Bombyx mori: one gene and its partner. The protein of the gene in region 1 interacts with the protein of each later gene in a pairwise test. Links are inferred from orthologs where the notes say so. Each region holds a gene or a part of one and is shown in the gene's direction. Other genes may lie near its edges.

The links.
Region 2: the proteins of methanethiol oxidase (region 1) and mediator of RNA polymerase II transcription subunit 31 interact in a two-hybrid assay, tested with the Homo sapiens proteins (2 studies listed by BioGRID and IntAct). The link is inferred for Bombyx mori from reciprocal best matches to the Homo sapiens genes SELENBP1 and MED31.

The regions. Positions count from the first base shown.
Region 1 is NC_085117.1:13,958,651-13,962,657, forward strand, and holds the start of methanethiol oxidase, read left to right. Parts: upstream 1-1,207; 5' UTR 1,208-1,967; coding exon 1,968-1,995; intron 1,996-3,421; exon of another isoform or gene 3,422-3,536; coding exon of another isoform or gene 3,537-3,546; intron 3,547-4,007. UniProt on the Homo sapiens protein: Catalyzes the oxidation of methanethiol, an organosulfur compound known to be produced in substantial amounts by gut bacteria. Selenium-binding protein which may be involved in the sensing of reactive xenobiotics in the cytoplasm.
Region 2 is NC_085122.1:5,746,493-5,750,558, reverse strand, and holds the start of mediator of RNA polymerase II transcription subunit 31, read left to right. Parts: upstream 1-1,266; 5' UTR 1,267-1,577; coding exon 1,578-1,593; intron 1,594-1,669; coding exon 1,670-1,759; intron 1,760-2,141; coding exon 2,142-2,311; intron 2,312-3,315; coding exon 3,316-3,462; 3' UTR 3,463-3,487; exon of another isoform or gene 3,488-4,066. UniProt on the Homo sapiens protein: Component of the Mediator complex, a coactivator involved in the regulated transcription of nearly all RNA polymerase II-dependent genes.

The DNA.
Region 1 (4,007 bases):
TAGACCACACATAGGAACGTTGTTATTGGGTAGTTATACAAACGGAACACTTAAAATTGTTGATAGCACGATTCAGATTTTTCATAGGTTCCTTTTATATAGTGTTAAGCACAAAAAACAAGTTACTGATGGTAGGACCTCTTTTGAGTCCGCAAGGGTAGGTATCACCACCCTGCCTATTTCTGCCGTGAAGCAGTAATGCGTTTCGGTTTGAAGGGTGGGGCAGCCGTTGTAACTATACTGAGACCTTAGAACTTATATCTCAAGGTGGGTGGCGCATTTACGTTGTAGATGTCTATGGGCTCCAGTAACCACTTAACAACCAGGTGGGCTGTGAGCACGTCCACTCATATAAGCAATAAAAAAAAATAAAAAAGCAAAGGTAAGTCGATAATGCTGTGACAAAAACAAAGAGCCAACAATTGTACTACAGTTTTAAGAATTGGATGTAAAAGTAATCACTGAAAATGTATAAAGCTCCAGGAAAATGTTATAATAACATTTTTGAATAATTTTATGACGTCTTAATCAGGTCTTCAGCGTCAACAACGTAAATGAGTCTTAAATAAAATGGCGCTAATAATATTTATGTGACAAACAATTCTAAAGAGTTGCCTCCTGAATTTTTCCTTTTTAAAAGGTGACTTTGAGTTTATTTCCCTTTGTAATTTTTTATTATGAAAAATCTAAACTTGTTTTTTGGAAAAGATTGCTACGTATATTCCTCGTTTGAATGAAAAGTAAACACATTGTCCTTTACCTTAAACAGTGTTTTAATTTGAGTATTGTTGAAGTGGACAAAGGTGGGAATTTTGGATGCTCGGAACTTTTTTGATACATTCATGAGACGTTACTATGTTACTAATTTTCGCATAGTGGTTGGCTTAATTAGCAATTTTGCCAATTGATGTAATCTATTTCATCAGTTAAACAAAAGAAGTAACATCTCTCGACGGCCAAGTAATGGAACGTATGATGAATACACATTTTAACTTTTAACATACCTTTAACATTACATAAATAATATATCTACTAATATTATAATCAATACACTTTTTTTTTCAATTATACGACAACCTTATTAAACATGTTGGCGTTGTTTGATTGTCACATCCAAATAAAGAACCCGTTCCCGCATCCAAGACGAAAAGTCATTTGGGAAATTCGTAGGGTGCGAACGCCGACGTGGGGCGGTGTGTTTTCACTCAGTGTCGCTTTCGGCTAGGACGCGAGAGGGCGCCGCTCGCGCTCCGCTAAGCCACGTGACTCGTTGTTTGAATCGTAAAACAAACAAACAATGCTATCTCGATACAATACAGCTAAACTATGAGATCAAAATCGCTCGGAGATGAATATTACAACGAGACCGCCGTACAGTCACGGAAAACTTTTCATGTTATTCAGTTTCGTGGTTGCTGTGTTCCTAACGGGAGTATTTCTCCGGAAAAGAAGCAAACAATCGCAGCTCACGAATCCGCACGAAATTCAGGAGCCCGAGGACATCGAATACGAGTCTATGATAAATGCGAACGCAACGGAGCCGACTAAAACACGAAGAAAAGAATACCTGTACCGCCTTTTGACAAATACGACCCGTTCGCTCATACAAATGGAAATAAAAGCCAGGAGACTGGAGGAAAATATACGGAGGATCGAGGAGAAGACTGCGGATTTATTGTGGAAGAACAAGGACAAAGCGTTGTGGCACATCCTATTCAAGAACATAAGCAGGCACATTTCAATACGGCACGAGTTTCATCAGCACGCGAGCCTGAAGCGTATTATGAAAGACGCGCACTCACATAAACGCAAAACAAGAAGAAAATATTTATCACACCAATAAACATTTATCTAAAATAGTTTATACGATAAACAGTTTTGTGTATAATAATACGTTTAAGAAGAACATTATTTTTTTAAACTGACAATAAAAGTATTTTATGTAGCATCTTCTTAAAGTGTAACGAATGCAGTCGATTTTAGTCCGCGGAGCACGTAAGTCCCATATGTCAGTCTTATTTCCTTGTCACAGTATTATTGTGTCGTATTCGCCCGCCCGCCTAGTATTAACGAGAGAACGTTTTCTGATATTGCTCTTACTTTACGTTAAGGTAAAGATTGCAATTTGTTTTTGTCAAGGCGTATTCTGCACACGTAGGTATACCGTGATTAACGAGTTTCACACGTAGCCTTAATGTACGTGAATTAATTACATTTATATAAACGATGTTACTTGAATGTAGCTTTTAGGTATTGTTATTAAGTTATTAAATCTCTGGAACACGCTGTTAGTAAATTGGTCAATCTCAATGTTCGTTTATATTTCGATAGTAATTCTTTTTGGATGCGATTTGTTTTAGGTCGGAAAATCCTACAGTGCTTAAAGTCTATCCGGATATTTATCACGGGATCCGGGTATGTACGTGACCTAAGCCACCTCTAGCTACTGCTACTACATCTGCAGCTTATATTTAACGGGTGAAGGATGCGAGTAGAACTACCTGAACCCTCCGAACCCCTGTTGTCTCATAATTTTTCATCTGCTAGAGCTTAATGTACGGGTGAATTCCGGGATATCATTTCTTTCTGCGTCAAAACATAGATGGAATTAATGAAAAGATATGACTTTTACATAACATATCAAAGTGGGCGTAATCACGCTATTTTATGATGTCTATGACCTCTGCTTATCATTTAACAGTGTGATGCACTAGCTTCGCTACCGATTACCCGAACCCACACATGTCATGTGAATACCCGCAATGAGATAATATAAGATCGAAGACCACGTATTTTTGCCGAGAAGCACTCATCTATCTTAAATTGCGTTTGAGCATGTAGGTTGTAACGTATATGGGTGCAGTTAATCATCTAACACCAAGGAGCCAGTTCATTGATTTATGCAATTAAAAAATGCGATTGCAATAAAAATAAAAATAAAAATGTTAAAGAAACAGGGATACGTGCTGAAGTCCATGGGCAATGGCACTCACTCACCATCAGGTGGGCAGGGGGCCGGGCAATAAAATAAGATAAATGAATAAATAAATCAGCAGAGACAAAGAACATGAACTAAGTATATACTTTTAAAACTAGAGGTTTAAAACAAACTGTAATTTTTAAAACCGCCATCAATATATTTATGTCTGTTCATTTTTAACTCGTACGCCAATAATAATTAAAAACTTTAAAAATTGGTTTTCACACTTTAAAACGAAAATGATATAGGAACATATTTTATTATCACCCGTAATGTTTATTTTCTTGTCATGTATACACAGTATCCGCTACGTTCGGTTTTAATATACTTTAATCAAATATGAACGTTCTGATCTTAACGATTGAGTTTAAAGTCGTTTAACTTATTTTGTGGTTTGTGATTTTATGATTTTATTGACTGATATGCAAAGAAGTAGGTACAGGAAAGTGAACGTCAGATATTATTGTGTTTGTTTTAGTTCACAGTTCATTCACTAGTCGTTCGGTTATTCTATAGGCTAGTTGTTTGTTGTGTTGTGAATTTAATTTTGGAAGTCATGTCTTGTTGTGAGTTATTTTTTTTAACGCAAAAAGAATCATTTTTGTTTTATCACTCAGTATTTTTATGGTGGAAATAATTGGTTAATTAATTGTTTAATTAACATTTTATCGGCAGAAAGCTAGTGTTGTAGCCGGTGACAGTGACTTGTAATTATTTTAAAAAGATAGCTATTTTTCTCGTAACTAACGGGTACAGTGACTTGTGATTGTCGTAAAATGTTAGCTATTTTTGTTTTATAGCATGGTTTTTGCTAAATTTTGGGTATTCAAGTACAATGTTTAAAATGAAAATAAACTTTCATGTTTCTCAAGTGATTACAAATAAGTTTTTATATTTTAAGACCCTTTGGATTTTTTATTTAAGATAACATGAGATGTATTATTATTTCCTAACTAATATTTCAAAGGTTATGTTAGAAACTTGATTCATTAACGGTGCTTTTAGGTACTTGAGGTACCTGAGGCAC
Region 2 (4,066 bases), on another chromosome or scaffold:
ATTACTTGACGCTGGCTAATGCACAAAACGTGCCAGAGCCAAAAATAAAGAAGAAGAAGAAGAACTGCGTTTATACCATAGAGTTACTACTTATTAACTCCATGGTTTATACATATATTAAGTGTATAATCTATGGTTTATACTGTCTAATTATTTCATAAGTGGATCAAAAAAATATTGAAAACTTCAACAATAATTCAACAAAAAAATGTCGGTGAAGAGTGAAGACGGTCAATTAGTCGTTAAAGTACAATTAGCGTGGTTTTCAGTTCAGTTATTTTTAATGATACTATTCATTACCATGCAATAGGAGATAGTTAAGATACTTGTATTTTATAATAAAATTAATAATTCCTAAATTCATACTTAGTTCAAAAAATGTAAATATAATGCACACAAAATCTGTTTTTGTTGAAATGATAATTATTTATAAGTTCAAGAAATATATTGCAGGGACATTTAGTAGAAATTCATTTAATATAGAAGAATAAACTTAGTATATATACTTATACTCTATAAACAGGATTTTTTAAGAATAATTATATCTATTTGATATATATAATAATATTATAATAATGATATTAAGTATAAATGAAGCTGATTAATACGAAACATGGCATGAAATGAAATGAGATGAGATGATATGGAATGAAATATAATTTCAGTAAAATGGTGGTTATTTATTGAGACTTTTTCTGTGGACTTGTTGGAGGATCCCGAGAAGTTATGTTCAGCGGCTATATTTTATTTTCCCACATTTGTGCACTTTTACAGATATTAAACAGTTAATAAACCAGCTCTATTAAACATTTAAACCAGATTTTTTTTAAGGGATGTTATGACCTGTTAACTAAGACCTTTAAGTTATATTTTATTTTAATTTATATTCTTATTTTTATGAAAAATTATAATATGGAGTGAAATGAAATGAAGATGATTAATTTGAGAAATTAATCAACTGGGATGAAATTAAATGGAATGAGATAATATGGGATGAAATATAATCTCAGTAAAATGGTGATCATTTACTGTGGTTTGTTCAGTGGACTTTTTGGAGGAACCCATTTAAACTTGAAGAAACATTAAATAGACAAAATAAAACAAATCACACAACTTCACTCATCGCGTTCCCGCCAAAAAGTTTAGGTATAGTACCTTTAGGCCAAATATTAAGCCTAAGTAGGATGATGATCATAGTCATAGACTAACTTAATGTGTAGTGTAGTATTGCTCGTATATATTAAGTGTATAATCTATGTATATTAAGTGTATAATCTATGTAGTATTGTGTAGTTGTGTTACGTTGTGTAGGACTCGGAAAAAAATATATACACAAATTTATTTATGTGATTTAATTAATTTAAAAATTTTAAGAGCTTACTAAGTACTGTGTAACATTTTAGTAATGATAAAATCTTAAATATCACATATTTATATAAGGATAAAATGAACTGTCTTGTGTAACCTGAAAATATGTTATTATTTTGGTCATAGATTTGTTGAGACGTACACCACTGACCAACTTGTTTAATTTTGAATAATTTAAATACTCCAGCTGCATATATTTCGGGTTCAAAATGATGGCTGGAAAAGGTAAGAAAGAATGAAATAATTTTATTTAACAGTTTGTTATTTCATGATAAATTAATAATCTTTAATTTAATTGCAGTAATGCCAGAAACTGAAGAGCAGAATCGAATAAGATTTCAAGTGGAACTTGAATTTGTGCAGTGCTTAGCAAATCCAAATTACATTCACTGTAAGTTGCCTTTTTGGTTTTTGTTGTTAGACTTCACACTCACCTGGTATACAATGATTACTAGAGTACATAGACATCATAATGTAAATGTTGCCACTTGAACTTATGCAGGCTAATGCTGCTCACTGCATACATACACTTATGGAAACTTATAATGATAACTTAATGTGATGACTGATCTGAAGCTATCAAGTTGGTCATCAAATCATCACAAGAGGGAAATAAGTAATAAATTGTTAGGTATTTTTCATACCGGTTTAATGATTTTGTTATTGTGACTTAGTTTCTAATCGTCTATTTTGTGATTAAATGTTTTTCTGCCCAGTGTTTTTAAATGTTATGTGTAATGGATGTCAATTATGTCAACTCTGTCTATTTACAGTTTTGGCACAGCGAGGTTATCTTAAAGAACAAACTTTTGTAAACTATCTTAAATATTTGCAATATTGGAGAGAGCCAGAATATGCTAGATATTTGAAGTATCCCATGTGTTTGCATTTTTTGGAGTTATTACAACATGAAGCATTTAGAAGAGAATGTGTATCGGCACAAGTGAGTACAAATTGCACCTACTAAATTATTTTCCATATAATCTTTGCTTGAGCGGTAGATAATGCCATAGGTTTTAAGTCCGCTGATAAACATTCTTCTTCTTCTTCTCTGTCGTTTCCTCATTGCTGAGGGTCGTGACCACCTTGGTCCAGTTTTTGAAGTAGTGTTTATATGAAGGTTTGTTGTGGCCTGAAGGCTTATCGCTCAGGCTGACCTGACGCATTCATATCAAGCGATACAAAGGTGTTCAGATCCTGCAGGCAGGTTCCAATTATTATAATGAGATACATACTAAACAAATGTTCACTATTGACTTCCACAGTTAAGGAATAACACCATCTAGTAAAAGAATCAAACTTGCGAAATTATAATTTGTGTAGTTACTGGTTGTAGGATGTCTTGTGAGTCCGCAGGGGTAGGTACCTCTACCCTGCCTATTTCTACAGTGAAGTAGTAATGTGTTTCGGTTTGATGGGTGGGGCAGCCATTGTATTTTTTTTTGTTTAGGCATTTACTTTGTACATGTCTATGGGCTCAGGTAACAACTTAACACTACTTGGCCTTTTTTTTTTCTGATATAGTTTTATGATTTATAGGTTTCACAGTATGATGTTTATGGGCTTAAAACCAAAACAGAGCTTGACTTACAAATCAACAGTAAAAAAAATATGCAAATGAAATTGAGCTAGTTTGAATGTAAGAATATAAATTTGGTAATTGTTAATGACCACGTACAAGTTACTGCAAAAGTCATATTATTATAATTTATTGGCTTTTATTTACCACCTCATTAGTAGCTGTGCTTTATTCTTGTACTCTACCAAATATAAAATTTATGACTGTGCCAAACTGGCCCTTGACCAAATACCGCTTTTAATTTTATCCGATAGCAGTATAATTTGTATGTATTACAATTTTTAAATAAAGCCTGTGTTTAGATCACTCTGATGGATAGGTACTGTTCAAAATATCTTCATTAATGAATGATTAATATTTTCCTTAAGGTTTGCAAATTCATGGACGATCAAGCAATATTGCTATGGCAACATTATACTCGTCGGCGTACACGCACGTTACAACCGCCGGACGCACCGGCGCTTCCTGCGCCGCCCGCACCGCCACAACAAGGTCCACCAAGACAACAAACTTAGGATGTTCATGATTGTTGTTTTAGAAGTGAGTGGAAAATAAAATAAACTTTTTATAAATCTATACTTAATAAATAAATCTACAGTGGTTTTTATGGATGTTCCGTTATAACTACTGAACCATGCATCCGATTGACTTGAACTTGTTATCCATGTAGAAAATACATGTACATAATGGATAGGCTAATTATATGAGTGTTGGACTCCCTACACCAGTTGCGGGGGCGTTAATGATGTGAATCTTTGTGGGGGTGAGAAATAATAATGTTAATTTTAAATGCCCAGTGAAGCGGACGGGTACAGATAGTAGTGTATAATAATGTTAAAAAAATATTGGGCATGTCCTCTAGTAGGATGTCCCACCGGGGGACAAAGATCTCCCTCTAAATTATCTAAATGGGTGTTAATGAAACCTCTTTGTTATGTTATAAAAATAATTTGGCTGATATTAAAATATTTGTTCTGTGTAGTAGTAAAATATACGTAGTCTTACTCATAAAAAATATATTTAATTACTTGAAATGGGCACTGAACGTTTTTCAAAACGAATTTTATTTGATTGAACATAAACAAATCCTTTGTATAATAACCGGCAAACTTCTTGAGC